2 linked regions of the Coturnix japonica genome follow. The protein of the gene in region 2 interacts with the protein of the main gene of each other region in a biochemical or structural test. Links are inferred from orthologs where the notes say so. Each region holds a gene or a part of one and is shown on either strand. Other genes may lie near its edges.

The links.
Region 1: the proteins of LCAT (region 2) and APOA1 form a complex in vitro, tested with the Homo sapiens proteins (6 studies listed by BioGRID and IntAct, with this or other methods). The link is inferred for Coturnix japonica from reciprocal best matches to the Homo sapiens genes LCAT and APOA1.

The regions. Positions count from the first base shown.
Region 1 is NC_029539.1:4,413,372-4,428,821, reverse strand, and holds APOA1 (apolipoprotein A-I), read left to right. Parts: upstream 1-10,931; 5' UTR 10,932-11,136; intron 11,137-11,246; 5' UTR 11,247-11,259; coding exon 11,260-11,302; intron 11,303-11,503; coding exon 11,504-11,657; intron 11,658-11,884; coding exon 11,885-12,482; 3' UTR 12,483-12,634; downstream 12,635-15,450. Other genes in the region: serine/threonine-protein kinase SIK3, read left to right, coding at 519-628, 1,134-1,491, 1,992-2,875, 5,979-6,142, 6,843-6,975, 7,396-7,553; APOA4 (apolipoprotein A-IV), read left to right, coding at 14,594-14,642, 14,744-14,870, 15,004-15,450. UniProt on the Homo sapiens protein: Participates in the reverse transport of cholesterol from tissues to the liver for excretion by promoting cholesterol efflux from tissues and by acting as a cofactor for the lecithin cholesterol acyltransferase (LCAT).
Region 2 is NC_029526.1:1,505,968-1,521,903, reverse strand, and holds LCAT (phosphatidylcholine-sterol acyltransferase), read right to left. Parts: upstream 9,686-15,936; 5' UTR 9,637-9,685; coding exon 9,483-9,636; intron 7,070-9,482; coding exon 6,913-7,069; intron 6,647-6,912; coding exon 6,531-6,646; intron 6,189-6,530; coding exon 6,093-6,188; intron 5,834-6,092; coding exon 5,609-5,833; intron 4,830-5,608; coding exon 4,195-4,829; 3' UTR 3,661-4,194; downstream 1-3,660. Other genes in the region: KIAA0895L (uncharacterized protein KIAA0895-like homolog), read right to left, coding at 2,815-3,246; C-factor-like, read right to left, coding at 11,338-11,451, 11,585-11,704. UniProt on the Homo sapiens protein: Central enzyme in the extracellular metabolism of plasma lipoproteins.

The sequences.
Region 1 (15,450 bases), on a different chromosome or scaffold from region 2:
TGTCTGAAAGAAATCTGGAAGTAGAGAATTGTGATTCAAAGGTAGAAATCTGCTTGGAACAGATGACAGGCAGTTTTGCCTTTTGACCAGCTTGAAAATGCATTACCTTCAGTAAGCCAGTTCCTCTCATTTCTACTCAGAGGTGTTCCTGGATTTCTCACATCTTCTCCAACTTTGTGTTAGGTGACAGTCCTTGTTTTAATCACTTGTAAATGAGGCAGGCTGAATTCTGGGAAGGAAGGAAGGTTTTCTCACAGGCCACAGTGAGTCAGGAAGAAGCTTGTGGTGTTCTCCTCACAGGGTTTTTGTTTAGCCACCAGGTTACACTCATTACCTACATGTCTTAGACACGGCTTTCATAATAGAAGGTAAGCTGCAAAGAGCTTGGGATCCCAAACGCAGGCTTCATGGTGTTTATCTTACAACAAAAACACAGCGTTTGGCTTCAGCTCTCACAGTTGAAAAAGTGTCTTAATGAGGAGCATGTGTGATGAGAAGGTGTTTGTTTCCCTGCGTAGGTTACGGATTCAGCCATCCAGCCCACCCCCAAACCACCCTAATAACCACCTCTTCAGGCAACCAAACAGCAGCCCACCTCCTGTGAGCAGCAGCGTGCTGCAGCCCCATGGTAAGTGCTGACAGCTGCCCATCCATCCTCTGTGCTCAGGGCAGCCTGTTCAGCAGAGCCCTGTGGTCCCATCCAACCTCTGGGGAAAAAGTGTGTGGGGGTATGGGGGGCATTTGGTCCCCCCTGTGCTCAAATCCTTGTGCGGTTTGCTGATGATATAAAAGATTCTCCATCTGGCGGCAAGGGCTGGTGTTATCGAGAGCTCGCAAGGATCTGCCAGCTGGAATGTGTTGATACGTTTCTTGTCATGAGATCCTTACTTATCACTCCCGGGGGTGGGGAGGAAGGGCTGTTATTCTCGGGTTGATACAAATCACTGTGAGCTGTGCTTTGTTTCTCTTTGTATGCAAAGTGACTCTAGCTTGACCCTTGCACCCTGACGCAGTGTGACAGAGTCACCAGGAGCAGTGCTCTCCTTGCCATGTGTCCTGGGGCTCTGTGTGCTGCTCTCTTCTGAGCCTTGCCCTGGGCTGATGTGGGTGCTGAGAGTCTTTGTTCCTCGTAGGTGCAGCCTCCCAGTCCCAGTTCCAAGGGATGCCATCCCACAACACAATCTTCCCACAGTCTGGTAACTGTTCCCCTCCCCCAACCATGGGGCTGACGTGCCTGGCTATGCAGCAGCAGTCCCAGGCCCAGCAGGTCACCATCCAAGTGCAGGAACCTGGCGACATGGTCAGCAACAACCTCCTGCAAGGGGCCTCGGTGGCCGGGCAGGGCATGTCCTCCCACACACGGGGTATGTCCATCAGCCCCAGTGCCAACCAGATCCAGATGCAGCACCGCGCCAACCTGATGGCCTCCCTCACCTATGGCCACAGGCAGCTGTCCAAGCAGCTCAGTGCCGACAGCGCCGAGTCACACAGGTAAGGCCACTGGCACTGCTGCACCACATCTCCACTGAGCTGGAAACGGGGCTGGGTGTGAGGTGGAGCTGTGGGGGTTCTTCATCAGCCACTTGTTTTGGGGGTGAAGCTGACTCCAGGCAGTGGCCCAGGCTGGGTGTTCTGGGAGTGTGCAAGGCTGTGGGTGTTTGTGCCTTGGGAAGCACCTTGTGCTAAGAGTGTCTGTCCCTGCATCCTGCCAGGGCAGGGCAGGAGGTGGAAAAGTTAAATAGCAAAGTGTTTTTGCATGAAACAGATGCTTTTCCCAGAACGTATTTTGCTCTCGGTGCAGTCAGGGTTCCTGTTTCCCTTACATTTACCAGCTCTGGAAAAGGCTGCACCACCTTACACTGCAGCTGCCCTAGGGGGTGACCTGGATCAAGCAGGCTCTGTGGGAGGTGGGAGCACCAAAGGCAGCCCTGCACGCCTTGTTAGCTGGAGCTGCCACAGTGCAGTCACTTGTTCTTTTCTGTTCTTTGCAGTCTGAACGTGTACAGGAACCCCCCCGCCAACTACGACCAGGTGCACTTACACCCCCACTTGTTCCCAGAGCAGCCTCGTGTTTCCCCCAGTAACTACAGCCCATCAGGAGGAGTTGGGTTTCCTCCAGCTCAGCAAGCTCTCAAAGTCCCACAGCTTGACCAGTATCCCAATTTCCCTCAAAATGCACATCAGCAACAACAGCACTACACTGCATCGGCACTACAGCAAGCACTGTTGTCCCCAACGCCTCCTGACTACAGCCGACACCAGCAGGTACCGCACATCCTCCAGGGACTTCTTTCTCCCCGTCACTCTCTCACGGGGCACACGGACATGCGGCTGCCCCAGGCAGAATTTGCACAGCTCATCAAACGGCGGCAGCAGCAGCAACAGCAGCAGCAACAGCAAGAGTTCCAAGAGTTGTTCAGGCACATGAATCAAGGGGATGCTGGGAACATGGGCACCAGCATGGGACAGAGCCTGTCGGAGCGTCAGTCGTTGTCTTTGCCTTATCAGAGTGCTGACGCCTATCATCCACAGAACAGCCCCCAGCATCTCTTAAAAATCAGGGCGCAAGAATGTATCCAGCAGGTACCTGCATCAGTGCCACCACACGGATACGGACACCAGCCAGCTCTGTTCCAATCCGAGAGCATGGAGGAAGACTGTGCGTGCGAGGGCGCCAGGGACAGCTTTCCAGACAGTAAGAATTCAAATACATTGACCAAAGGTTGCCACGAGACCCCTCTGCTTGTAAATGCAGGAGGGCACGGGGACCCAGAATCTTTGCTAGGAACTGCTAATCACGTTCAGGAGCTGGGGACGCATCAATACAGACATCAGCCCGCTGCTGGATTCAGTAGGAATAAGGTGCCCAGCAGAGGTAAGGCTCAGGGCCACTCGCATGGCTGAAATGCTTTTCCATACTGGTTGCATACTGCTCGTGTTCCTACCAGAAAACACCATCCCTACCCAGCACTGCGATGGTTTCGTGACATATTTTGCATAGCACAGAATTACCTAGATTCTTTCTGGCTTCTGTGGCTATGAATTGCAGACATAGTCTCTAATAAACAGTGTTAAATAAGAACTCTGCTAGATTCTTCTCTCTGGAATGTGACCTACTTCTGTAGGCAGATAAAGGCCAGGACCATGATAGTGCTATCTCTGAACTGATGCTGGGATCTGTTGACTCGTTTCTTCTTGTTGGGGTTGAAGTACCCAGAAGAGGTTAAGTTTCTGGAAGACCTATAATGTGGTGTATTCCTTCTCATAGGGGCAGAGCTGTGAGTCCAGGCATTGCTAAAGCTTCCATAAACTTGCAGTACAAGAATGGTGATAAATGCTGCTAAGTCTGCCTTGCACTGCTCAGGCACTTTGGGAAGCAGCAGTGAGGCTGGAGCCCTGCTTTAGCTGCAAGGAGTTGATTCTAAAGGGAGCTGAAGCTTGTTGGAAACAGTTGTGCCCTTGCTGCATTAGTAGTGATGTGTTGTAAGAGAAATTCCTGCCCAAGCTATAATTACAAGCCTTCCCTGTAGGAAAAAACACAATCCTACCCCCTTGCTAAGAAGGTTTTGAATAGAGGCTTTCCAGGCTGGGCTGGGTGGATCAGTATTCACCGCAGCACTGAGCTGTACTGGTCTGAAGCCATCAACTTGCCCTTGGCACAGGGCTCCCTATTACAGGGGAGCAGTGTCCTGGGCACAGGAGGTGCTGTTTTGTTTGGGGACACAGCATGGGTTTGTTGGGAAAGTACTGGCTGGGAACAGAGTGGTGCAGAGGGCGGTGTGGGCATGCCAAGCTGTGTCCCTCAAAGCAGGGGCAGGGCCCTGCTTTTCTGAAGCCTTCCTTGATTTTGTGTTTTTGATTTCTCTCGGGCTTTAATATCCCTGTGGTATTTGTAGCACAAAAGGGAAGAGTAACTCCAGGTTTGGTGGGATTTGAAAGCTGTGCTGGTGCATTTTGAACCAGATCTGGAGCTCGCATCATAACATCTTAGACCAAAACATGCAAAATGATAAGATTTAACAGCGTCAGAAGCTAAAGTTCTGCCCCGGTACTGATGGTGCTAAAACAGGTTACACAAGGGAAAAGGACTTTAGACAACAAGACTTTGTAAATGAGTAAAAAGCAAGTAAATGTTTGCAAGTTGCATTGTGTAAGCACTTCTGACAGGGGCTGTTTGGAGGGCTCGTGTAGTAAACTGTGTTCTGAGCTGCAGCTGCTCGGAGCTTTCCTCCTGGCTTTAATAACCCACTTGGAATCTGGCCTGTGTTACTTCACTTCCAAACAAAGCAGACATGTGAGCAGCCCAAGGTACATTTCCTACAAGTCGATCCTATAAAACCTTGCTCCAAACAACCTGAATGTGCCAGTGCCACTCACTCACCTGTAGCACAGCCCAAGTGTTAGAGGTGCTGAGGGATGGCAGCAGGAGGTTTGTACCCCAGCACTGGCACTCAGGGCTTTCTGCAAGGCTGCTGTTCTCAGACACAGCTTGGGGTTTTCCAGCCATCCCCTCTGTGTTGTGGAGGAGGGACAGCTGAGAGGGCAGATATCTCCTTCCCCCCCAGCTTGTGAAATACACGTTGCTTGAGGGAGGAGTGCAGATTTGCGGGGGCTCAGCGGGATTTATGCCTTCCAAAGAGAGTGCATTGACCCCGCTTTAAAAGCCAGTTGAGCATCAGCCACAGAAGGTAACTGCAGATCATGAGAGTTTCAACCAAATCTGTGGTTAGGGTATGACTAAACCGCATTGGAGCAGCTCAGCTTCAGGCTTGTTCCAACCTGGGGTCGGGAGCGCTGCCCGTGGGAAACCTTTCCCCAGCACTTGGGAGCCGGGTGCCAGCATCACATGCACTGACACAAAGGCTGCCTGGGATGAAAGGGTCCAGAGTGGGGCAGGGGCAAGGGAAGCAGCCTGTGCTCAGGGCTCCTCACTGCTCCCTGCTTCTGGCAATGCCTGCCCCGACCATTCCCACAGTTGGAAGGGCCCCGAGCGCTGCGTGGGCGGCCCTGCACTGCCAGCACTGCCTTACCTCATGTTTTCCTTCTTGCTTTCCGGGAATGCTGACCATTAACTGAGTTTAACCCCACAGATGTGCAGGAGGAAGGAGGCTGGCTGCGTTCCGGCTGCTGGCTGGGCTTTGGGGGCTGGGAGCTCAATGCCTGGCTGCTGGGAAGGATGCTCTAGCAGTGCTGTCTCCATGCTGGGGAGCAGCGTGGGGTGCTCAGGGTATGACAGTCCCAGCCAGTAGTGTCTCACTGCTGGCACAACCAGGGGTTGCTTCCTGCTGACCATTCCATGCAAACCTGATATCTGCTGTTGGGATCCACCTGAGGCCGTGTCACATCAGGGCAGCTCCCAAGGGCCTGTGGCCTCATCCATATGTTTGTGCTCTTTGGGACTGCTCACCAAGAGGGAATTGTTTACGTGCAGCACAGCCTGCAATAGGCTTCTCCATAGCTCAGGACTTTATTCAAAACATCGTGTACTTAATGACGATAGGTTCTGCTGGATAGGAATGTAGCCTTTACCCTCGGTCATAAGAGCTTGCGGTGCAGATGGACTTTGCCAGGCAGAATGCTCTTGTACTCCTACGGCCAGATTGGAGGAGGGCAGGGAGAAGTCATCTGATAACAACTACTATCCTAGCAGCTTTTCCAGCCAGATCTGTTGCATACAATTACCAAGGGGCCCTGCTAAGAACATCCTGTGTCGGAGGTGGGGGGGACCCTTCTCCTTCTCTTGTGTAATGTGAGCAATGCATGGAGGAGGGTGCAGGGCTGGAGGGGAGGCAGATGGAGGCTGCTGCAGGAGCAGGGAGGCCTGTGGGCCATGCAGAGAGCCCCAGTGCTGCAGCGTTTGAGCCAGAGCAGCCAGCAAGCTGCAAGTGACACTGGCTTGTGCTGCGGTGCCATGTGTTGCCAAGAGCAACTGGTTCCTTGTGCTAATGTGATGCTTTTCTGTTTCATCTGATTTCAAGAGTCCGTCGTAGGGAACTGTATGGACAGGAGCTCCCCGGGCCAAGCCATGCAGGTGCCTGACCACAACGGGCTGGGCTACCCAGCACGGCCAGCATCCAGCGAGCACCCGCGGCCCCGCACCCTGCAGAGACATCACACCATCCAGAACAGTGATGATGCCTACGTAAGTGGGAAGAGTCCTGTGCCCAGCAGCTTTGGGTTATGGAAGAGGTACCACAAAAGAAAGGCAGCACCCTGCTCTGCAGGGCTGCTAGGGATGAATTGCTGTTGGGACTCAGCAGTCAGCACCCCCATTTTGCTTAATCCTGAAAGCATTTTAGCAGAGACCAATGTGGAATTTCTCCTCTGCTCATGTGTTGCCTGATTTGTCCCAGTGCTGGCTGTGTTATTCCTTTTGTCCCCAGGGTGTTTCTGATGAAACTATTTGCACTGCCCCAGGCTTGGCTCTGGCTGCAGTAGTTTTACAGATGCACAGAGCCCAGCTTTCAGCTCTGCAGTGTGCTCAGTGACCTGGGCCACGCCAAGAGCAAAGAGCAGCTGCTCTGCTTTCTGCATTTTGGACCTCTCAGAACAATCAGACCCAGATTGTGGCATGTTTCTTGCTACAGCTTCCTACTGCTGTAGAGCAGAGCTTTTCCCTAACTATTGATAGTATAATATAAGTCTATAAGGGGGTTGAGTTGTCCATTCGTTCCATATTGAGGTGACATTGGCTGTACCTACACTGTCCCTGATGTGTACTCTTGTACTCTGAAGCCTTTGCTGAAGGCTGGCAGAAACTCCCTGTGCAGCTGTCAGAGATAGCCAGGGAAGCTGCTTGCAGGTGCCTGGCTCTGGTCCCACTTTGATTTGTGTCTCCTCAGGTGCAGTTAGATAACCTGCCTGGGATGAGCTTAATGGCTGGAAAAGCACTCAGCTCTGCTCGGATGTCTGATGCCGTCCTCAGCCAGTCGTCGCTCATGGCCAGCCAACAGCTGCGTGACAGGGAGAGTGAGGGTAAGGACCTGGCCAGCTGCAGACATGGCGTGGGCACTGCATGGGGGTAAGGAGCTGTAAGGACCTGCATTGTTCTGACAGCCTGCATTGCAAAGCCACCTCGGCTGCCAGTGAGCTCTGCAGGGATGGAAGGGTTAGCTGTCACCTGTGGGATCAAAGCCTCCTCAATGCTGTTTGCATGAACTGAATTAAAGAGAGTCTCTTGGATTTCTCACTGCACTTGAGGCTTGGGTGCCGCAGCCATCTCCAGCTCTAACATGTTTTGGGTACAAACCTGTGACAGTCTGTAGAGCTCTGTGCTTGGGTGCTGCTGAGCTTGTGACAGCAGTGAACTGGGCTTCCTGCTGGCCTGAGCCACCTGCAGAAGCTGCAGCTCCTCAGTGCTCCTAATGCAAACCCTGATGTTCTTTGATGTTACAGAATGCGGAGAAAGTTTGGAAGGTCAAGAGCATCCCAACCTAGGTGATGGCAACCAGCATCTAAACACCTCTTGTTACCCATCGACATGTATCACAGATGTCCTACTGAGCTACAAGCACCCGGAGGTGCCCTTTGGGATGGAGCAGGCAGGGGTGTAACCAGGAGGGAGTGAGTATCGGTGTCCTCCTTTTCTCTTCAGCTGCACATCTGGGCTCTCCTGGATGGCAGCTCTGAAGCTGCCTGACTTTGTCCATCTCCTTCCCCACCCTTTTGCTCTAGCATTGGTTCAGGGCTGGAGGAGAGACCCTCAGCTCTGAGCTCCTTCTGTTGGATGTCCCTTCTGTGTGCTCAGGGCCCTCTTTTGTGCCTTTGCTGTCCTTCCAGAGCCATGTTTTGTTGGTGTGGGCTCTGCTCTGGGCTCTGCCCTGCGGGTTTGGGCTGGGAATGGGCTGTGGGAGCAGGATTGCTGTTCTCTGGTATCTCCTAACACATCTCTGCTTCTCTCTGTTTCAGGTTTTATGTACAGCTTTGAAATGAAAAAGGTCCATTTTAAACCAACAGTATCTAGCAGCATTGCGCCAAATTGCCGTAGTATTTCTGACTAACTGGAATACCATGGCCCCTTTCCTCATAATCACTTCATCCAGTGTGTTGTTCCTTTGGTTCCTTTAATTTTTATATATATATATATATTTTTTGCCGTATTTGCCTGTAACTCCCAGCTATCACCGAAAGAACCGGAGAACCCCAAATCCTACACGTCAGCGGAGCCCCGAGCACTGAGCCTGGTCTGGAGGGCTGCGAGCATCCAGGGTAGGGGGCTGGCACTCAGAGCAGAGCCCACGGAGCCTGCAAGGCAGGCAGGAACCTGCAGCGCATCCCTGCCCCCCTCTGCTGGCTCCTGAGCAGGGCGCAGTGCCCACCCCCCTCCCCGCAGCGCTCACCTCCCGCCTGCCTGCAGAGCGCCTGCCCTGGTGCAATATGTCTCATCTCTGTCTGCTTTCGTTCCTCACTTTGGCACTGTGCTAAACAGGATCACTTCTATCCCTTCCCCAAAACCAAAACCCCCTTTTTTTGGATGTTTTTCATTTCTAACCCCCCACGTGATTTTCTTCTTTTCCTCCTTGGCTTAATGTAGGGAAGACAGATTTTCCCCCTTTCTTTTCGGAGCTTTTCCTCCCGATCATCAAGGAATCCTTTTTATTTTGGGAAATGTTGTTTTATTATTATTGTTATTAATAAAAGGCAAAAGGAATTTCTGTTTGAGAGACCTTTTTACCTGGATTCTGTTCTTACACCCATTGTGACTTGCACTTTTGTTCCGAGTGTTTGCTTTCTTTTCATGCCGTTGTAATTGTGACTTGGTTTTTCTTCTCTTGTGCCCGTGGCAAATTGGTGTCCTCCTCTACGCGGTTCAGATACGCAGAGATCTCTTCTCTGTTCTTCTTTTTGCTCTTTCCTTGGCTGAGAGAAAGCAAAGCCTCCCCTTTCCCTCCCCCTCCATCATCCAGGCTATGGGGAGAGCTTGGCGTCACCGTCACCCTTTGGGACTTTTGAAGCTCCACCTGGAAATTCTTCTTAATGACACTTTTGGAATATTTAAGACATAGATATCTAATAATAATAAAAGGATTGACCCAGACCTCCTGAATTTTGCACAGAAGGAAGTGTGAAACCAGCATGGCAGAGCTACATTCGCTATGGGCTACCAATGCCTCCCCCCATATCCCCATCCCTTGGTCCCCAGGAAAGTGATGCTCAATGCAGTCTGGAGAGCTGGAGAGGAGGAAAAGCCCACAGCACCGAGCTGAAGCTGGTGATATGGGAGGGAAGGGGCTGGGAGGCACCAGGAGGCACCAAAAACCTTTTTGCTCTGTACCTTTGGTTTGTTTTCCTTTCATTTACACTGTTTATTCCTGGGAGAGGTGGCCGCCCTACAGTCAGCACCCAGCGGGGGGACTTCGCTTCTAACCGTGCCATTTCGACGTATCACCTTTGGGTTTTGGGTTTGGTTTCTTTTCATCATGGCTTTGTATTGCAGTAATCGATACGCGCAGTGTATGTTGAATGTAGATGAAAATACTTTGCTATTCTTTCTGGGTTTTTGGAAATGTCAGAAGTTATTATTTTTCCCCCTTCATTTATGTCAGACTAAAAATTAAGATATATAAAAAAAAAAAAAAGAGGAAAAACCCGAAGTTTTGGTAAATCTTCAGTCCATTTTTTTGGTTGGGTGTTATTTTTTTTGGGGGGGTGGGGGTTGATTTCTTTTGGCGGGTCACTTGCAACGCGTCGATTGGTCGGACGGTGGGATCATGGCAAATAAAACCATGCTGGTGATCTTCCCTGGCTTCTCTGTTTGCCTTGTTGCTCAATGCCGGGGGTGGATGGGGGCCACAGGGCTGCCCAGCAGAGCAGCATGTGCTGTGCTGACCCCATAGGTCACCAAACCACCCCATCGGGTGCACCCTGCCAAAGCCCGGCTTCCCTCTGAGCCCTGATGGGAAAGACCTTGAGCTGCAGCCGGGGGAGGAGGGCTGGGAGAGAGGAGCTGCTCCTGGTGGTGGGCTGAGGGGCTGGGGGTGTGGATGTGGGCACAGCAAGTGTGTGCGGGGCTGCACCAGAGCTGAGAGTGTCACTGCTCAATGAGCAGCTGCCCCGTGGCATTAACCAACCCAACCAACCCAACCCCAACCAGCCCAACACTAACGAACCCAACCCTAACTAACCAAGACATTAACTAGGCCAACACTAGCCAACCCAGCACTAACTAACTCAATACTAACCAGCCCAACACTAACGAACCCAACCCTAACCAACCAAGCCATTAACCAGCCCAACACTAACCAACCAAGCCATTAACCAGCCCAACACTAACCAGCCCAGCCATTAACCAGCCTACCCACTACCCAACCTGTCCACTACCCAATGCATCTGTTAACCAACCTATCCACTAATCCACCCATCCACTAACCAGCCAAGCCATTAACCACCCCATCCACTAACCGGTGTATCCACTAACCAACCCACCCACTAACCAGCCCATCTGTTTGTGCCCGTGGGACCTGGGGGCCATGCCCATGTCTGTGTCCCCAACTCAGCCTCCTTCGGGCTCAGCCCTGGTGCTGGTGGGACAATGTTCATGTGATGTGGGGTGGCCGTGCTGCAGATGCTGTTTGCTCTGTGCTGAGCCTGTGCCCCACCGCCCGGCTCCGTGTTGACAGCAGCGGGCACACAGCAGCCTCAGGGCACCGCTCGGTCCCTCCGCTTTGGGGGCACGGCGGGACGCGGGCAGGGTGTTGTGGGGGGGGGTCTCCATCTATGGGAAGGATGCGGGGGGGACTCACGGGGGTGACGGGAGGAGAACGAAGGGTTGGGGTCCGGGCGGCCAAATCCCTGCGGGTATAAACCCGGTGCCCGGGCTCTTGGCCAATCCCCGGGGGCTGCCTGGAATCTGGGTCACCCGCAGCGTAAACATCTCCTTGGCCAACTCCGCATCCCCAGGGAGCTCCTGTTTGCTCGAGGCTCTGCCAGACCGGCGCTCCTTGGCTCTCTGTCCCGGGCCGTGCACACGATCCTTGAACTCTACGCGCCACATCGGCCGCGTCGGGGAGTGATTTCTTGGGCTGCAGCGCTGCCTTATCTCCTGCGGGAACTGCCCCTCCTGCATAAATAGCGGCGGTGGGGAAGCTGCGGGCTCACACGGGACGAGCAGAGCGGAGCAGCGTCAGGACAGAGCCGGTAAGAGCCCGAGCTGTGAGCCGGGACCCCCCTTCCCACCCCGCAGCACCGGGCTCGGAGCCGGTCCTGCTCAGGGCTTCCTTGAGCCCAACTTCTCGCTCTGCCCTCAGGTTCAGCCCGAAGATGAGAGGCGTGCTGGTGACCCTCGCTGTGCTCTTCTTGACGGGTACGTCCCAACAGGGCTGAGCCCCTTGTGGGCGATGCAGAGCGCGATCCCGAAGCGCTCCGTGCAATTAAACCGCAGCCAAGCGCTCCCCGGAGCCTGCAGCGCCCCATCGGTGGGGCTCCGACCCACAGCTCCCGGGCACGGCAGTGCAGTGGGATCCCCCCCATCTGCCCGTCCCCAACGCTCTGTCTGTCCCTGCAGGCACCCAGGCCCGCTCCTTCTGGCAGCACGATGACCCCCAGACACCCCTGGACCGCATTCGGGATATGTTGGACGTCTACCTGGAGACGGTGAAGGCCAGTGGCAAGGATGCCATCTCCCAGTTCGAGTCCTCTGCTGTGGGCAAACAGCTTGAGTAAGTGGGGAGATGCGTGGTGCTGTCCCTGTCTCCATGTCCCCATGTCCCCATATCTCCATATCCCCATATCCCCCTATCCCACTATCCCCATGTCCCTATGTGCTGTGTTCCCATGTCCCAATGTCCCCACGTCCCCATCTCTCCATGTTTCCACATCCTGTGGCTCTATGTTCCCACATCCCCACGTCCCCACCCCACATCTGACCCCGTACTGCTCTCCCCAGCCTGAAGCTGGCTGACAACCTGGACACGCTGAGTGCTGCAGCTGCCAAACTGCGTGAGGACATGACTCCCTACTACAGGGAGGTGCGCGAGATGTGGCTGAAGGACACTGAAGCTCTTCGTGCTGAGCTGACCAAGGACCTGGAAGAGGTGAAGGAGAAGATCCGACCCTTCCTGGACCAGTTCTCTGCCAAGTGGACCGAGGAGGTGGAGCAGTACCGCCAGCGCCTGGCGCCCGTGGCTCAGGAGCTGAAGGATCTGACCAAGCAGAAGGTGGAGCTGATGCAGGCCAAGCTGACCCCAGTGGCCGAGGAGGTTCGGGATCGTCTGCGTGAGCAAGTGGAGGAGCTGCGCAAGAACCTGGCGCCGTACAGCAGCGAGTTGAGGCAGAAGCTGAGCCAGAAGCTGGAGGAGATCCGTGAGAGGGGCATCCCTCAGGCTTCCGAGTACCAGGCCAAGGTGGTGGAGCAGCTCAGCAACCTGCGTGAGAAGATGACGCCTCTGGTGCAGGAATTCAAGGAGCGCCTCACCCCCTATGCTGAGAACCTCAAGAACCGCTTGATCGACCTCCTGGATGAAGTCCAGAAGACCATGGCCTGAGCTGCTGGCCCAGGGACTGAGCCCAGGCCATGCCGGCCCCCAGGAGACCCCTCCTTACCCTCCTCTATCTCCCACCCCCACCCCGACCCGGAGTCCGTCTCAGCTTTGCCATTCTTTTGTCAAATAAACGTGACTTAAGTTATTGGAGCTCACTCAGTCTTTGCAGTGGATGCTGGGGATCTAAGCCATAAGTGGGGATGGGCCCTTTGGCACCCCCTTAGGGTGGGAGGCTGCAGGGTGGGGAGCTGGGTTAGTGTTGGCTTAGGGTTTGCTGATGCCCATAGTGCCAGTCCCAGCTCTGCTCAGGATGTGGTCACAGTGATGCTGGGCTGGGAGCTCCCCATGTGCCACCAGCTTTGTGCTGAGCACCTCAAGAACACAACCCTGGGCTGGGGGTCAGCTGGGTGTCAGATGGACACCATGCTCACATTGGGGTTACACACCCCATCACCACCCCACACACATGGTGCAGCGCTGTGCTCAGCACCCCAGCCCTCCTCCATTACACCCCCCCCCCAACAACACCGCAGGGACAGAAGCCATCTCACTCCAGCTCCACTTTATTGCAAGAACCACAACAGAAAGGAAATGTTGTGTTGATGAATATGATTTAGTCGGGAAGTATTGGGAATGGTTGGACTAGATGATCTTCTAGGTCTTTTCCAACCTTGATAATTCTGTGATTCTGTGAAATGCTGCTGTGTATGGGATGGGGAGCAGGACCCCCCACCAGCCCACAGCCGGGCTATGCGCTTGGTGTCTGCTTCAAGAGCGCGGTCACCTGCTCCCTCAGCTGCGCCAGCTGCTGCTTCACCACGTTGGTGTTGTCTGACAGCCATGTCCTGCAAAGGGACCACATCAGAGCAGGGTCTCAGCTCCGCTCCCCCTGACCCGTGCCATCCCTATCACCAGGGGCACACTGGGGGTCACTGGGGTACGAGGTGCTGGTGGGGGCACACGGCCTCACCTGGCTTGCTGAGCTGCATCTGACTCACGCATTATGGTCATGGCAGTCTTGACTGCCTCGGTGGCTTCCTTGATGAGCTCCTGCATCTTCTTCATCACCGCCTCTTTCTTATCGGGAGCATCAGCCCCTGCAAAGCACACAGAGCGTGGGCATGGTGCACCCCAAACCCCCACTGACCCCTCACTCCCCATCACCCTTACGTGCTCCCACTGCCAGGATGGCCACAAAGGTGAACAGGAGTAGGATGGAGACCCTCATGGCTGGGGAGAGAGCAGAGCACATGGTGTGGGGTCAGATGTGACTCCCAGACCCATCCCCTGGATCCCTGGTGTTGGTCCCGGTCCTGGGGGCCCCGCACTCACCTGGCTACGCTGTGCTTTGCCTCCGCGCAGTGGGGGCTGCTCTGAGTTCCCATTATATACCCTCCCCAGAGGCCGCATGTTCAAAGGTCAGTGGTGGTGCGACCGCAGGCAGGGTGCCCATTCCCGAATCCCTTTCCCCGCTGCCAGCTTTTATTTGGATGGGCTCCTCTGCTCCCCCAGAAGGGGTTGAGAAATCCCCAAGGGCCAAGGCCGGGGGCTGTGCATGCGTGTCTGCACACACGTGTGAGGGGTGGGGGCGGCTGCGGGGCACATACAGCACAAGGGTGACATCCAGTGGCACCCACTGCAAGCCAAGCATGGGATGCTGCGGGGTGGTGGGCTGCAAAAGCAGGGGGGTGGGTGGCAGTGCCAAGCTGCGTCCTCAACTCCAAACACCCCGAGATGGGGTCACAGCCATGTCTCCCCACACCTCCCCATCACCCTGTCGGCAACACCATGCACCCCATGGCACGTCTCCTCCTGCTCCATCTCCATCCTGCTCCGATAGAGTCCCAGCCCCACGTGCCCCCTGCCCTCTGCAGGCCATACCCACTCCCCCTGGCAGTGTTGCCCCCTGGCACCCCGCCGGGCTCCGCGGTGATCTCAGCTCTGCGCTCACGTCAGGCGCTTCCACGTCGCGACCTTGCTAAAGTCCAAGCTGCGGTGCGGGGCTGCGTGGAACCCGGCGTGGCTGCTCAGGTGCATAAATAGCGGCGGGTGCTGCTGCACGGCAGGAACCACAGCACACAGCAGAGCACAGAGCATCGCTGGCAGCACTCAGGATGTCGCTGAAAGGGGCCGCCTTCCTCTTGCTGCTCCTGGTTGTGGCAGGTGAGGCAGCTCCCATCCCATTGGGGGTGGTGGGGCTGAGATGTGGCTGTGCCTTGGGGTGGGATGGAGGTAGATCTGACCTCATATCTCTGTGCCTGCAGGGACACGGGCCGATGTCAGCCCTGACCAGGTGGCCACTGTGATCTGGAAGTACTTCACCGAGCTGGGCAGCAATGCCAAGGAGACCGCGGACCAACTGCAGCAAGCTGAGATCACCAAGCAGCTCAAGTGAGTGCAGGGACCACCGAGGGCTGTGGGCATGGGAGGGCACAGGGTGCTGGGAGATGGGAATTGGACGCAGGGCACCCAGCAATGGGTGCTGGGTGCTGGACACAGGGCACTGACTGCCCGCTCTCCACAGCACCCTGCTGCAGAGCAACCTGCAGAGCATGAACTCCTACGCCAAGGAGCTGCAGCGGAGCCTGGTGCCCTTTGCCACGGAGCTGCAGGCACAGCTGGTGCAGGACTCGCAGCGGCTGAAGGAGCAGATCCAACGCGAGCTGGCCGAGCTGCAGGCCAAGCTGGCTCCCTATGCTGACGAGGTGCACCAGCAGATCGGCACCAACATCCGTGAGCTGCAGGCCAAGCTCAGCCCATACGCCGATGAGCTGCGCTCGCAGGTGGACCGCGGCACCGGGGAGCTGAGGAAGGCGCTGGAGCCCTTTGCCACCGAGCTGAGGGAGAGGCTGCAGGACAACGCAGGCAGCATCCAGGCCTCTCTGGGCTCCTTCTCTGAGCGGCTGCAGCAGAAGATTGACAGCAGCGTGGAGGGGCTGAAGGGGCAGCTGACACCCCTGGCTGATGATCT
Region 2 (15,936 bases):
TAACATCTGACACCTGTTCTCCCCTTGCTCTGCTTCTGCCTCTCACAGGAGCTAATGACCATGTTCACCTCAGCAAGTGCTCTTGCAGCAGCTCAGTCCCCTTCCCCAGCCACCAGATGGGCACCGAGCTGAACCTGAGAGAGCCACCAAGGCCCCTCCTGCTGGCTTGCAGAAGAAAAGGCCCATTCCTTCTTATCACCTTTGTTTATCTACTGCAAAACTTTGTCCCCCATCCCCTAAGACAGCAAGCAAAGAGGAACTCGGTGCAGATGGTGCACAAAGCTGACAAAAGGGGAGTGTACTACAGCAACTTCTAGAGAAGTCACAGACAGCAACATTCCTAAGATAGCACATTTGCTCTCTGAGAAGCTGCTGAGCCCACATCAGCCCTTCCTGTCCGGTCAGTGGCCTGTCTGGGCTGGGAGCAGGAGTCTGTCACCAGCTCAGCCCATGTGTCAAAGGATAACAAACACTCAAGCTGTGCTCCAAGCCCTGTGTTGGTGCTGTTGGTGCTGTGTTGGTGCTGATCTTATGCCTCCAAGGAACTGGGCTGCCAACAGTCTTCTTGATCCCTTATAGCATAAGCCATAGAGGGGCCAGAAGGATCCTGATAGGAAAAAGGAAACAAAACAAACCAACAAACTCCTCTGCAAACAAAAGCAAAGAAAAACAAAACGCTCTCCCAAAAACATCAAAATCCCCCAAACAACCCAGCAAACAAAACCAGCCCCCAGCTAAAATAGCAAGAATCCAAACCCAAACCAAGATAACCCACAACCCCCACCAAAACAAAGCAACTAAAAACCACCAGAAAACAAACCCCCAAATACTCCACAGTGCAGAAGAGCTGATTCAGCAGAACTGAAGGGGTCATCGATCTCAAAACACAGAGAATAAGGACAGGGAACTGATTCTGGTTTGTCTGCTCTTGCAAGCAGATGTTAAATCAGTACAAGGCGCTGAGCACAGGGTGCCAGCAATGGATCACTGCCACCATTGCTGATGGGTTCCTGCCCATCTCCCCTTCACCTGAGCACTCACCTCAATACAAAGTGCCTCTCCACAGCCCTCACCCCTGACTGCTACATGCTGTGCTTCACTGAGAAGGCAGAAGAACCCCTGTTCTCCCAGGATACATGACACAGGTAGAGAACTTGTAAAGACAGGTAGAAATATTTAACACTAATATCTCTTGCAGTGGGTGTAGGAACAAGATGAGAGCACTCGCACTGCTTATGAACAGTTAATTGCATTGCAAGTAATGCACAGAGACAAATAACTTCAATTATTCCCATTTGAGAACACTGTAAACCAACTGTATCAGAAGAGGAGCGGGGAAGTATCCTGAGCAATTCAATTTACTGCATTAGTCAGAGACTCAAACACACAGGAAGCAGTGAAAGAAAAGACACTGAGGTCATTACAGCAATCCAACCATCTCCTCTGAAACAGCATTGCTGGCACCAGTTTATCTGGGGCAGAGTATACCTTATATACTCAGAGTATACCAGGAACAGCACTGGAAATGCCTGACTGCTTGGAAAGCTGTTTACAGACAGAGGCCAAACAGTCTGGGTAACAGAGCTCTAGAGAAGTAGGAAGCAAGAGGTGACGTGGCTGCTGTTTACAGGCAGAGCATCGTGGAGCCCCACTCTTTTTGCCTTGCTTATAAGCAACTGAAGTGATGAGGTAAAGACACACACAAGAGGAACCTACAACCTATCTGCCATCCACTGTGTTTGCTGATAATTCTGGGTTAACGGTGCTGCCACGCAGGACAACCTTTACACCTACCAGAAAACAAACCAGGCTCAGCCAGCAGGTTGTGTGCTGAGGGCTGCTTTGCATGAAGCACATGTTCCAGTTCTTGGTCTGTCAGTTCTAAAGCAACAGTGCAAGGGTTCCCTGCCAGCTCCCAGCCATGGCTGCACGTCTGTAGGCAGCTTGAGTGTGATCCAGCCCCAGGAGTCACTCTTTTATCAGCTATAGAAGGCGTATGTTGAATGTGTAATTAAAGGAGAGCTTAGACAAGCAAAACAAAACAAAGCAATAAATAGCCTGGAAGATGACAAGCAAAGCAAGGTCACACAGCAGCAGACATAACAAGGAGCAGGCCAGAGGGGTGCCTCTGTGTATGGCACACGCTGTGGCTCCAGCCTGGATGGCCAGCAACACCTTACTTGGTGTTGCTGATCTCAGAGCCAAGATAATGATCATGGATCAAACCTTATCATAGACCAGTTGGGTGGGAAGAGACATGAAAACCCACTCAGCCCCAACTCCTGCCACAGGGGTGACCATTCCCATCCATCAGGCTTCCTAGGGCCCCATCCAGCCTAGCCCTGACACCTTCATGGATGGAGCATCCATAGCATCTATAGGCAGAATGCACCAAGGCCTCATTGCCTTCAGAGTAAAGTTCTTCCTAACATTTAAATCTCTACTTTAGAACTGTATCCCCTTGTAGTATCACCACACTCCATGACAATGAGTCTTACCTTCCTTACCTTCCCATAGACCCCACTACCCCATATTGGCCCCATAGACCCCAAACAGGTCCCACAACCCCATATGGGCACCATAGACCCCATACAGGCTCCACAATCCCATATGGGCCCTATAGACCCCATACAGACCCCACAACCCCATAAGGTCCCTATAGACCCCATAAGGTCCCTATAGACCCCATACAGGCCCCATACGGGCCCCATGCAAAGGCCTCTAATCAACTACCCCCATCCCTCACTGCACATTAACACCCCCGAGCATCCTCCCGGCCCCTCAGGTCCCTCATGCCCGTCGTCCCGCTCTCACCTGTGCCACGAAGCGATCCGACGCGTCTCGGTACTTGTCCAGCACAGCCTCGGGCACGGGCTCGGCGTATTCGAACTGCGGGTCGTACGCGAACCGCTCCCTGAAGAACCGCTCCCGTTCTGCCTCCACGTTCCGCGGCCGCAGCGCTACGAGCAGGCAGGGGCTGCGCCTCCCGGCCCCGCCGCCCTCCTCGCCCCTGGCCCTCGCGATGTGAGGCAACGAGGCGGCGGCCCGAATCCTCCCGCCGCTCCGCCGCATCCCGGCGCCCGTTTCCGACAAACGCCGGGTCCCCCGCGGGCAACGGGGCGAAGCGGACCCCGCCGGGCGAGGCGGCGGAGAGGGACACGAGCACAGCCGGGATCCATCGCGGTCCGGCAGCGTGCCCAGCCCGGCACGGCCCTGCCCGCCCGCCGCCCCCGGGTCCAGCACCATCGCCTCCAGCGCGGCCAACGCTCCGGCCCCGCTGCCCTCTCACGCCCGCCGCGCCCGCCGGCCGCCTCACGCAGCCAATCCGCGCCGCGCATTGCGGCCGCACAGCCAATGGGAGTGGAGCGTGGAAAGAGGCCCCGCCCACCGCCCCTCCAGGCCGAGCCCAGCCCTGTGTGAGGCGGCGGCAAGATGGCGGATGTCCGTGGGTGGGAGCAGCCGTGGGTGGGGGCACAGCTCCGGGTCCCAGCCCTCAGCACGGCTCTGGTTGTACCAGGGCTCCTGGGGCGCCTCACCGCCCTCCCAGTGGAACATCTTCCCCTGATACCTGCACTAAATCTCCCTTTAGCTTTCCATTGCACATTGCTTATCAGCCAGCCTCGCTTGTGTAGGAAGACGCTGCACAAAGGAGGCTGGAGGTGTAGAAGCCAAGTACGTTTATTAGGCAGATCTGCTGGTTGTGAGGCAGTCTTGCAGCAGGGGCTCAGCTTGTTGCCTGTGTGACGGGGGCCCTTCTGCAAGCTGTGCCTATATCCTCCTGTCATTACCCACCTTGGCTGCCCCGGCACTACGAGCTCTATCTTGCTTACATGGAGGCTGGCCTGTATAAAAAGAGGCTATTGGCACCACGGCCTGAAAGTGTCTAAAGATAGCTTGCTATTGCTTACATGCCATAATCCGTGAGTGTGGTGTTAATGAGCTGGCAGTGTGGTTAATTATCCATCCGCTAGTGGGAAGTGACAAGCCTCTGAAGTGTAATTAATCACTGCTCCCAAAACAACAACAACAACAAAAAAACCCCAGACAATCAGAATGGAAGAGGGTGCCAGCCCATCCACCTGAGCTGTTGTTCTTGCTCCTTCTCATTGATACCCAGCTCCGAGTCCTTTACTCCCCCCTTCATGCCAGCTTCTGGTGGATACAAGCACGGAGGGAAGCTGGCCATCACCTCCTTCAGTTCTTTCTGGGCTCCTTAAAGACTTTGTGCCCTTTCCTCCCTACCTCCGGGCTGGATCTCAGAGCACCCGTCTGCTCAGGCTCTCCTTTCTCCTTGGTGCCAGCCCCAACCTTGGTGCTCCCCAGCAGTATTTCATTGATGGAGGTCAGCGTCAGGTTGCTGAAGACCATGTTGAGGTGGTCAATGCCTCGCAGCTCCTGGACGTGCACTTTCTGCTTTTGCTGGTTGCGCCATCGCTTGCACAGCTCTGAACTGCGTTTGTTGACAGTGTCATCCCCATCACCATAAATCATGTCCACGGGGTCCTCGTAAGGGAAATGCTCATCGTATATGTAAGTCTCCACTGTGGGATAGCCTGTGCCATAAAGGCAATATGTGTCCACGCCAGGAGGGGGTAATCCCTTCAGCAAGTCCTTCATGTCCTCCCACATGTACCAACCATCCTCCAAGTTGACATCGGTGAAGAACCGCTGGTAGTCCCGGTAGGTGTAATTATAGGAGGGTGTGGAGATGAAAACATGGTCCTCTGGCCAGGCCAAGCTCGTTGGGAACATCCAGGGGCTGGTGGTGGTCATACGCTGCTCTTCACGCAGCTTGATGTTGGACATAAGTGGGATGCCCTGATTATCACCTGCAGGACAGACCAAAATACACCCTTGGGCAGCTGAGATCGGACACTTATCCTTGCACTTATCCTGCAAGCCTGGGTGTTTTTAGTGTGTCTGGAGTCCTAAGACCATGCAACAATGAAGTTACCTTAAAAACAATGTCTCTGGCCCATGTGATAACAGAGAAAAACTGATGACTAAGAGTGATGCAAGTGGTCAGATGTTAAAATTTGCAAGCATGTGTTTTTAAATGAATCCCATGCATTTTGGAGGCTCAGCTTGTGATCTGTAGATACTTGGGCTGTCAGCATTAGGCTTTCTGGACTGAAAAGAGGCTAAAGAGAAACTAGGTGAAGGAAGTTAGAAGCCTGAACAATAAAAGCTTATGGGGGATGGGCTCTGAGATACAGGCAGATGCAAGCAAGTGATGTAGAACAGTGTGTGTGCCCCTACAGGGACCTCCATGTCCTCAGCTGTGTAAGGGCTGTACTGCTTAGGGCAAAAGTCCATCTAGCTCACAGCTACTAGAGGTAGTGCAGCTGTCTGGGGAGGCAGTGAGAAGCGAGTGAGCACGGCCCAATCTGCCTTTCTAGCCCCATGATGTGTGGCTGGGGCATTACTTTTGCCCAGGATGGGCAGTTCTGATTTCAAGGAGCATCCCTAGCCCTCAGCTGTCCATCCCCCAGCTCTTCTACCATAGTGTCTGGTCTCTGCTCACTGCCACTCTTCCATTTCTGCAGGAGAGACAGAAAATGAAGAAGCCTCTGCCCACAGGGAATCTCTCACCACTCTCATCACTCACCTGATGCCAGGACACGCAACGGCTTGACAGACCCTCCCCAAGGGGCACCCAGTGAGATGAAGCCCCCGATATACTGATCTTTCCAGGCTTGTTTCTGCTGGAGCAGGAAGTAGAGGACATTGAGGTTGCCCATGCTGTGCCCAATGAGGAAGACACGCTGCTGGTACTCATCGTGCATCTCCTCTATCAGTGCCTTCAGGTTCTGGAAGTATTCAGGCTGCTCCTCTGAGGACAAGAGAGACACCAGCTGTTGGTCAGCTTCACATAGCCCCAGGATGACACTAAGAGCCTCAACCAGAGAGATGTGTGGGCACAGATGCCAGAAGTGCCACTGCATACATTCACATGTGAGTGCTACTCACAGCCACAGACAGCCATCCCTGTCCAAGGGATGACAAACCACACTGAACCACCACACCTGCTCACTGGGAACCATCCTGCCTCCCTCCCTGCACATGTGATATGGCCACAACCCCAGACTTACGGGGACCAACCCTCCAGTCATAGGGGGCTGCCCGGACTGTTTGGTCCCTCACGTAACCATTGTTCACCAGGTTCTGAACCAGGGTGTGCAGGTAACCTGCAGAGAGAGAACAGATGGGATTTATGTCTTTGGTCTTCTGTTATCCTTTTTCTGTTCTTATCTTGATCACAGGCTGGAATTTCATCTGCTGAGCTCCGTATCTTGACTGCTCTGGTCAGAGATTGCAATTCTGTGCATCCTGGAGGCATAACACGGCACTTGGGGCTGGGAAGGAATTGTCCTGGGGCCAACATCCTTCGCACACAAGTGACCTGGGCTCCATCATCTCTGCAGGACTGAGATGGGGTGAAGCCCACGGACACAGGGACTCCTTTCTGTTAAGCAATGAACGACAGCCCTGGATACCCCGTGCCTCTCCACAAAGCTGGCTCCTCTCACCTGCCAGTTTACTCTGATCCAGGTACTCCACAGAATAGGTTTTGCCAAAGCCAGGCACACGGATGTGCACCCCGGGGGCGTTGGTCATTTTCCGAGCGGTTCGGTTGTACACAACCCTACGGAGAGAACAAGACAGAAGGCAGCAGCTGTGTCATATCCTGACCCCGCTACCCCAGGGAAGGCTGGCAGCATCGGCAGGAGGTGCTGAGGACGGGCAAAAGGGGAAGGTGTTCAGAAAGGGCTGATGAGAGCTGTGTTCACATCACAGAGTCCAGGAAGGACAGTGTGTGTGCAGGGTCAGGGCCACAGAGGGAGGAGAGGGGAGGGAGATCCCTGCTAGGTCATTAACCTGGGGAGCTCCTGGGATGGGGGTGAGTGGTACCTGGTGTTATCGATCCAACAGTCAACTCCCACTGGCAGGAATGTGTTGAGGTTAAGCCAGATGGTGAAATAGTCCTCGGTTTTGCGGTAGCACATCCAGTTCACTACATCCGGCTTGTCCAGTTTGGCTTCCAGCTGGTTCCCAAGACACCCGGGCACTGGGGGCATCACAGAAGGAAACTACAGCCAGGTAGACCTCGGTTTGTGGAGCTGCCTGGCCTCGTGCTTCCTTGACCCACAGACTTCCCTGGGGCTGCCTGGCTAGGGACAGCCAGGAACCTGCTGTTGGTTGCTGCTGGATGTCACTGGAACAGCACTCATGGAGAACAGCCTGCCAATGCCTTGGTTCTCACCAAGCACAGCACATTTTTGGGCACTTGGAGATGCAGGTTGGGCATAGAACCATTGGAATAGTGCTAAAAGTGCATCCTGTGGGACCACCAAGCTGCTGCCCTCACCCAGCGCTGGTCCAAGAGAATGGAGATAACCAGCATGGAGCATCCCAGTGTTTCTCCCTAAGCTTGGCTGGGTTTCTCTGCTCCTATTATCAGCCACAGGGATGGGGTTGGTGCTCCCACCCCCACCGTATGCCATGCTCTACCCATCACACCCATGAGTTCATCCAGGGGTAGCAGAGGCACCCCTGTCCGGGGTGAAAATAGTCTGTGTGCTGCTGCCCAACACCCACACATTGTTTTCCTGAACTTTAAACCCTCTGAGTAGATTGAACAAAGTCTCTGAAATGATTCCGAACTGTTCCCTGTGGGAATTAGCTGCAAATATCATACAGTAAACACAACACCATTTTAACCAAGTTCATGGCCTGCCTTGTGACCGGGGCTCTGCTTCTGGGAGCTGCCCTGTGGTTCCCTGGCAAGGACAGTGGACACTCACTGCTGTCATTGCTCCCAGCCACTGCAAAGGGTCCGAGGTGTGTCCCAAAGGGCTGGACAAGGATAAGAAGCAAAGAGACCTCAGTGCCTGCAAGGCTGATGGGGTGGGAGCACTGAGTATGAACTGAACCCAGCAGCCACCACTGTGCCAAGGGCAGCCCCAGCAGTGTCCCTGCAGCAGGATGCAAGGGTAGCCTGGTCTGGAGATGCTCTAGTGGATCCCGCCTGCCACAGCTACAGCTCCATGGTGTGGCAGAGCATTTGCAGGGGTGCAGAAGCATTGTAGCACATGAGAGTGGAATGGGGTATATGGGGTATGCTGGCTGCCTTGCTCAGCCTGCTCCACAGCTCCCTCAGACCTGTGCATATGGGTAAGTTCTAATCCTTCTTTCAACACAGGGTGATGATCAGCACATCCTTACCCACCCATGAGAGGATGCTGGCACAGGAGAGCCCGGGCTTCAGTTGGGGAGCTGGAGCAAGCAGAGTAGGTGGCAGTTCCTGGGACAGCAGGTAACCCTGTGTGCCATGGGGCAGCCCCGTGGGAGGTTGCATCCCAAGGGTGCCAGGGGTGGCTGGGTGCCCTCCTCCTGCCTCACTATTCCCCCTGGTACAGCCAGCACCCCAGTGCTTAGTTCTGATCTCTGCCTCACCTCAGAGAGGACACTAGGTAATTATTAAGGGAGTTCCTGTGGGGGCAGAGGGGTTATCATTGGTCCTAAGGGCACTGGGGGTTTCTGGGATACCAGACCCAGGGGGATGGGCTTCACACAAATGCTGTCTCGACCACCCTGACACCCCACTCTGGGTGCTGGGCATGGGGCAGGGGTTGAGGCTGGTATGGGGGCACGAGGCAGAGGCAGGAATGGGGAGAAAAAGAGGTCCCGGGGGGTGCTTGGAATGAGGCTTCCTGAGGGTCTGAACAAGCTGCAGGCTCACAGAAGGGCAGTGGAGATGCTCCTGCTGTCACACGCCATCCTGAGAAGTGGCACAAAGTCACTTGTGCTGTGCCATCCCCTGCCTGGTATAGTGACAGCCTCCTGGCCACCAAGGCTGCAGCCACTGCCAATCCAACCGCACAGTGCCAGAGGATGCGGGCATGGCTGCCTCTGCCAAGCTGTATGCCAGGCTGCCCTGTGCATCGAGAACTGCATGGGGAAGGGAGTTCATAGGGTCATTCTTTGGATGTTCTGCTTTTTCTCTTCTCTTTTTAAAAGGGAAAGTCCTTCTGAGTCAGGAAAAGGGTGAAAAATAACCCCCCTGCTAAGGGCAGGTCTGGCAAAATCCTATGCCAGTGTTGGCACAGGGAGGCAGATTGCAGCCACACGCTGACAGCTTGCAAACAACCCCAGCCAGGCTGCAGAACTCCCCATCCCCACCTCCCCAGCTGATGCCCCAACCTCTCAGTGCACCACTGATGCAAGGAGAAGCTGCACACCAGCTCACTATAGCCCAGGCAAGGTTGTCTGCTGTGGGTCAGACACCCTGCAACAGCAAAGGATGAATTAACTGCAAAAAGCACAGGGCAAACTGCAGGGGAGCAAGAGTTGGTAGTCTCCATCCCACTGGAACAGAAGCAGCAGCAGCACGGAGCTGCAATCCAAAGGCTGTTGCAACCCCTACCCCTCCATCAGCAGAGCCCCCCGAGCAGGGCAAAGTGCCCCAGCTGTCACCTTACCGAGCACCACGGGCGGCGTGCTGTTGGTCGGGGGTGCTTCTGGGGTGGTGGTGGGTGGAAAGAGCACGTTGAAGAGCCAGAACTGGGACGTGGGCTGCAGGAGCAGCACTAGAAGCAGCGTCAGCAGCGTGAGCCCGGCTCCCGTCCTCCCCATGGCCAGCTCGGCTGGGCTCCCTCCAGCAAGGGGAGCAAACGGGCTTTTATATCTTAGGCAGGTCCAGGAGCTCGGGCTGCAGGGGAGGGGAGAGCTGCAAGGGGCTGGCCGGGATGGGGAGGAGGGACTGGGAGGGACGAAGGCCCGGCCTTGCAAATGTACCGTCCCCTGTTGAACACTGCGGTGGCCGGAGACACTTTGTACCCTCAGAGACCTGCCCACGGGTGGCTAAATCCATTGGTGTCCCTGAGCGGCGTGTGGGCAGTGCCCACAGCACGCCTGCAGCGGGTGACACCGGAGGGGGACACTTCAGGCTCTCTGCAAACCCGCTGCTGTGCTTTGGGTTGGAACTGAGGTTGCTGCAGAGAAATGACCCTGGAATGATCACTGCCGGCCCTCTCCTTGGGTTGTGCTCCCCTCATGTTCCCCAGGACCTCGTGGCAGGGCTGGAGCTCTGAGTTCAGTCTGTGTGAGCACAGCAATGCCCATATTACCCTTCTGGTGGTGGTGATGTGGGGTCCCCAATGGGCCGTTTGGAGCATCACCCAAATGCCCATACGTGAGCCTGGATAGCTCAGTTGGGAGAGCATCAGACTTTTAATCTGAGGGTCCAGGGTTCAAGCCCCTGTTCAGGCGAAGCTTTTATCCTTTAAGTGTGAACGAGGGGAGCTGGAGCAACGCTACAGTGCAGCGTGCAGCCTGTCCCAGGCTCTGCCTCCTATTTTCCCTCTCGTGCACCCTCAATTAGGAAGAACTGGTGGGCAGAGGCAGAGAAGCGTCCTGCTGCCCCCTATCTGCATCACTGCGCCTGTTCACTAATGAGTTCGCTTAAAAGTTGTCCTCAAACAAGACTTCTCTCTGCTTGTTCGCTTCCCGTCCTCAGCCAGGATGGAGCTCAGCAGACCATAAACACCCCAACAGTCTGACTGGAAAAGGTTTGGCTCCCTGTACATGTGTCTGTGGGTTGGAAGCGGGGGGGATTCCCGCAGCACGGCAGGTTTAAGGATGGAGAACAACTCAGGGAGCTGATGGAGCTGAGGTCCTGAACCTACTGGGGCAGCCCAAGGTGACAGCAGGGAACTGGACATCTGGTGACTCGGTCTGTGTTGTTACCTGTGGAGGTCTCAGACTCGAGACCTTTAATTTCTCTTCTGAAAGCTGCTGTCCGCTGTGAGCTCTGCACAGCTGTCGGGAGAGGGCACTAAGACAAAGCAGACTCTGTGTTTCAATGGGCTGAAGGCTTGTATAGAATAAAAGGCACTTCCTCAAAGTGGAGACCCTCTGGTGCAGCGCAGAGCTCTCCGTGTGCCTTCTGTTGTTTAAATTCCTGCCTCTGCTCTAAGGATATGGCACTCGTATCCCTGATGGCATCCCTTCAGGACACATGGGAATATAGGGACTACTAGGGATTTTGTCCTCTGTGCGCAGGGACAAAGCTGTACCAGGATGACAGCCAGGCCCTTACTCAAAAGCTGGCCGTTCATCCAACATAGCTCAGTCATGTGCAAAATAACCCAGCCATTCCCTCAAAGCATTGGGGAAGACTGTGATAATTGTAGCTAAAACAAAAGCAAGAAGGCAGCTCACGCACTGCACGTATACTGCAATCATTGCTTACAGTCACAGCTTCTTTAAGACACAGGCACAACTCGATGCAGCAACAAAGAGATGACTATTAAAATCTGAGGCTTGGCAAGCATCTCACCAGGCCATAACTTTCCCTTCCCAGTCCAGGAAGGAGCCGCTGTCCTTGTCGGAGAGGTTGGAGAGCACCTTCAGCATCCCTCCTACGCTCTCATCCACTGTCACGCGGGTCTGCAGGGGCAGAAGGAGAAAGATGGCTATGTGTGTCCAAGGGCCCAGCCTGCCCAGGAGCCTTCAATGCACAGGAAGCTCCACATTCCCACAGTAAGGGATTCTTCCAAACCTTGGCCAGAAACTCTCTTACCTTATCTTCAAAATCGCCTCCCATGTCTGTTTTGACCCATCCGGGATGGAAAGCGATGCAGAGGATGCCGTGTTCCCGGTAGCCCATGGACTGGCACCTGGTGAGCATGTTGAGAGCAGCCTGTGGGAGACAGCACAGGGATCAGGCGGGGATGAGAAGATGCATCACAAGGACCCCACAACGGTCTTCCCATGCAGATGCCCAGTCCCAAAAAGGACCTGTATTGACATGGCCCTTTGTGGTTGGGCTTGGGACCAGGCATGGGACCAGTGACTGACTGTACTTACTGCAACGATATGAGACTGCTTGTCCGTAATGCCACAGATAGAGGTCCTGAATGGATCCAGCAGTGCTGGAGATGTTGACGATGGCTGCCTTGTTGCAGCTCAACCCTGATCCTGGGTCCCCTGGCTGCCTCTTAACAGGGGGCAGGAACGCCGTTGGGAGAAGGTAGAGAAGCATGCAAGAGAGCTCATTGGAAGGGCACGTTTCCCTCCATTGCAGGTCATAGCAGAAGAGATATCAGAGAAGTAGAGAATCAGAGGACAGTTGTTGCTGGCAGAGGTCTCCGTAGATCATTTCTGCACCTCTCCTACCCAACCAGAGTCATGAAGAGCCATTGCCCAAGACCATGTCCACATGTCTCTTGAGCATCTCCAAGGAGGGACACTGGACAATCTCAGTGATCAGCTTGGAGACGCAATTGGCCCCACCAGTGCTCAGCACAAAGTCAGAGTGCAGATTATTGTTCCCCTCATTCATGTCATGATCCTCTGCACCCCGGTATGGCTCGTACCTCTGCACTCTCATCTCATCTTATGGCCCCAGGCTTCAAAGTGCCAATTTCTTATACCTGTCACCTGGTGCTCCCCCAACCAGGAAGGGCATGTTGGGCTCAGCCTTCCAGGACTGAATTTCAGCACCTACTTCTGACAGCAAGAGACCTGACTGGGGACTGAATTGTAAAGGACCCAACACCAGGGCAAGAAGACAGCAGGCAGAGAGTAGAGGAGGGCACTGTACCATGGGCCCCATTTTTCTCCCATTAAGAACCTCAGGGATGCATCAAAGGGATGTCAAGGAGCTGAGGTGACAGCCATTACCTGGTCAGCAGGACAGCGCGATGGTGTTGGTCATGTACACTTCAGACATGTCCTTCAGGTTTTCACTGTCAATTGTGTTTATCCTTACGATTCCAGCGTTGTTGATGAGGAGTTGAGCCCCGAGCCTTGAGCGCGCCCCCGACCGCTTGGCTGCGGCCGCCTTAAATGCTGCGGGCATCGGTGACTCTGCAGAGGCGCAGGTGGGGAGAGTAGAGTGCCGCTGCCCGTAATCGTTCTGCCAGCAGGCCACAGTGTGGACAGAAGAGCCCTGCAGCAGGGCTGTGGAGATGCGAGCCACAGAGAGCGGGGAAGCCTCAGGTGAGGGACTTCCAGCCTTGGGGCTGCGGCTTGTGGCACGTACCGAGGCGGGACGTATGACGGTTGGCGGCTTGGAGGCCAATTGACTGCGCTCCTGTCAAAGACAGCTGATGTGGAAAGGCCGACAGTGTTCACGACTCTTTCAGCACGGCTTGACAGCTTGCCCCCTGCCGCTGTTGGTAGCACAGGTGACAGATAAAGGCAGAAGCAGTAGAAAGCAGCCCTGCCCAAACCCAAGGAGCCCTGGCACTGTGCAAGCTTGTCCTGTTGCCCATCGCTCCCAGCGCTCATGTCTCTGATGCGCCAGAGCGCAGCTTCCTCATCCATCTCATGATCCTTCACCCTCCCCTCTCGCTGCACCAGCCCTGCTGTCCACACCTCAGCTCAGCCACCCACCTACCTGTGCTCGCTGTCCCCCCTTTCCAAAACCCAACTAACAAAGACGGAAATAGCTGATCTGCAGCGGCTCTTGCTCACGAACGAGGACCGCCCGGCGCCCCCGCTACCCCATGCCCTCCCAAATGGGGTCCTCGGCAGCCTGCAAAGACCACTCAGGTGGTTTTGGCAGTGCCAGCAGGTTTTGCGTGGACAAGCCCAGGCGATGCCCTGCTTAGGGACCGCAGTCACCAGAACGGAGCGGACACGCAGCTCTCCCATTTTGCTTCTCCTGCCTCTGCTCCAGCTCTCGTTGTTTGCTCGGTGCTCCAAGGCTTCTTATCACATACTGAACTTCCACCACACCCACACAGGGCTTGCACAAAACCCAGATTCTGGGTACAATCTCACCTGCCCTAATCTTTCCAGCATTATGCTCCTGGCTGGTAGCCAGCCTTACTGTAGGGCAGAAGTCACATTGCCTTATATTTACTAACTTGCTGTTCAGTAATGCCTGAGCCCTAAATCGATTAACAGCAGCAGAAGTCCTGCAGAAGCTGTGCTGGGTGAGGAGATGGGAAGCAGAAGGTGGGAAGGAGACACGATGCCCCGTGGGTCTGCTGGACTTTCACTGTGCTGTTCCCCGTTTTGCTTCTCCTGCTTCTGCTCCAGCTCTTGTTGTTTGCTCAGTGCTCCAAAGCTTCTTATAGCATGCTGAACTTCCATCCCACCCACACCCACACAGGGCTTGCGCAAACCCTTGGCTGTGGGTGCAATTTCTCCTGCTCTTTGAACTGTCCAAAACGATGCTCCCAGCCAGTAGCCAGCCTTACTGAAGGGTAGAAGTCACAATGCCCTAAGAGACTGTGCCAATGGAGCTGGTGCAGTTGCTGGCCAGGGCAGCAAGTGACAGCAACAGTTTCTGACCTACGTTGGAAACAGAGCGGCCAACAGGAGCAGGGAATTGACTGTCCCCTTGTACATGGCACTGCTGAGACTGCATCTCCAAGACTGGGCTCGTTTTTGGGCCCCTCACTGCCAGAAGGATCCTGGGTTGCTCAAGCGAGTGCAGAGCAGGGCAGTGAAGCTGATATTAAGGAGGTGTGATGATGTGGCTCTTGGGCACCAAGTTTAGTGATGGGATTGGGTGAATCAGGTCGGAGTTGTGAACTTGAGGGTATTCTCCAACTTCACCAATTCCTATATCCGCTATCGTGAATCAAACCTCCTCCTTATCTCTGATTCTTAGGCAGCGGAGGACAGAGGGACACAGGAGCTGTGCTGCAGAAGCCAGCATCATCAGTGTGACTGCCAAAGTGATCTCCATTGGGTGGTGCCATGGAGTGCTGGGAGCCCCCATGTTCCCATACTGTGGCAGCGAGGTGAGGGGGTAGAGGAGGATTTGATGATGCTTGTCCATGGAGGGTGGTCCAAGGGACCTTCCACCTGCCCTAGGACACGTATCTTGTACATGGTACTTGAAGTGCAAGCACTCAGATGGCCTTCATAGGCATCCAGCAGCCCCGGCCCACTCATGGATACAGGCAGCATCTTCTTCCTGTACCCCACCCTATGCATGATGATGGAGAGCTCTTCACCCCATCTCTGTCTTACTCAAGTTCTCACCACCTGTTCCCCCATGTGGAGCCCTTCCTTGAAACATCCTGTACACCAACCTCACTCGTGCTTCCCCCAGCCCTGGGCAGCCCACCTCACTTGGGGGGACATTTGTCAGTAGTTCTGGTTGGGAGCAGTCTGTTCTGAAATAGATGAGGAGTGGAACCACCCTGGGAACGGGCTGCCCTCCATGGGCTCGCAGTGTGCATCAGAACCTGTTGTGGTCAGAGGCAGAGCCAAGAGCATTGCTGTTGTCAGAGCTGGGTTTATTGAGGGGGAAGCAGAGGGGAGGATGCAATTGCTGCAGCTCCTGTCAAAGACAGCTGATGTGAGCCACATGTCACGCTCTTTTCAGCACGGCTGACACTTTGCCCCCTGCCCTGTGGTACACCAGTGCCAGATAAAGGCCAGAAGCTAGGTAGAAGCAGGGCCTCCTCTGCCACAACCCCCCAAGGAGCCCTGCGGCCACTGTGCTGCCACAGCTTGCTGTTTTTCCCTTTTTTTTTACCTGTGCCATCCATCCCCAGCTCTTCATCTGCCTGCATGTCCGCAGGCTGGCCCAGCTCCTTCAGTCCATCTCATGATTCCTTCACACCTCCCCTCTCCTGCATTCCAGCCCTGCTGTCCCCCACCTCAGTCGCAGCCCAGCCCGAGCTGCCTCACCTCGTGCTCTTCTCGTCCCCCGGCCAGCTCTGCAAGACCCACCTCAAGGTGGGTTTGGCAGTGGCCCCCAGCAAGTGCCCGGACCAGAAGCCCAGGCCCGCATGCCCCTGTTGGCCCCAGTCACCAGAACGGAGCGGACACGCAGCTCTCCCATTTTGCTTCTCCTGCCTCTGCTCCAGCTCTCGTTGTTTGCTCGGTGCCCCAGTGCTTCTTATAGCATGCTGAACTTCCACCACACCCACACAGGGCTTGCGCAAACCCTTGGCTATGGGTAAA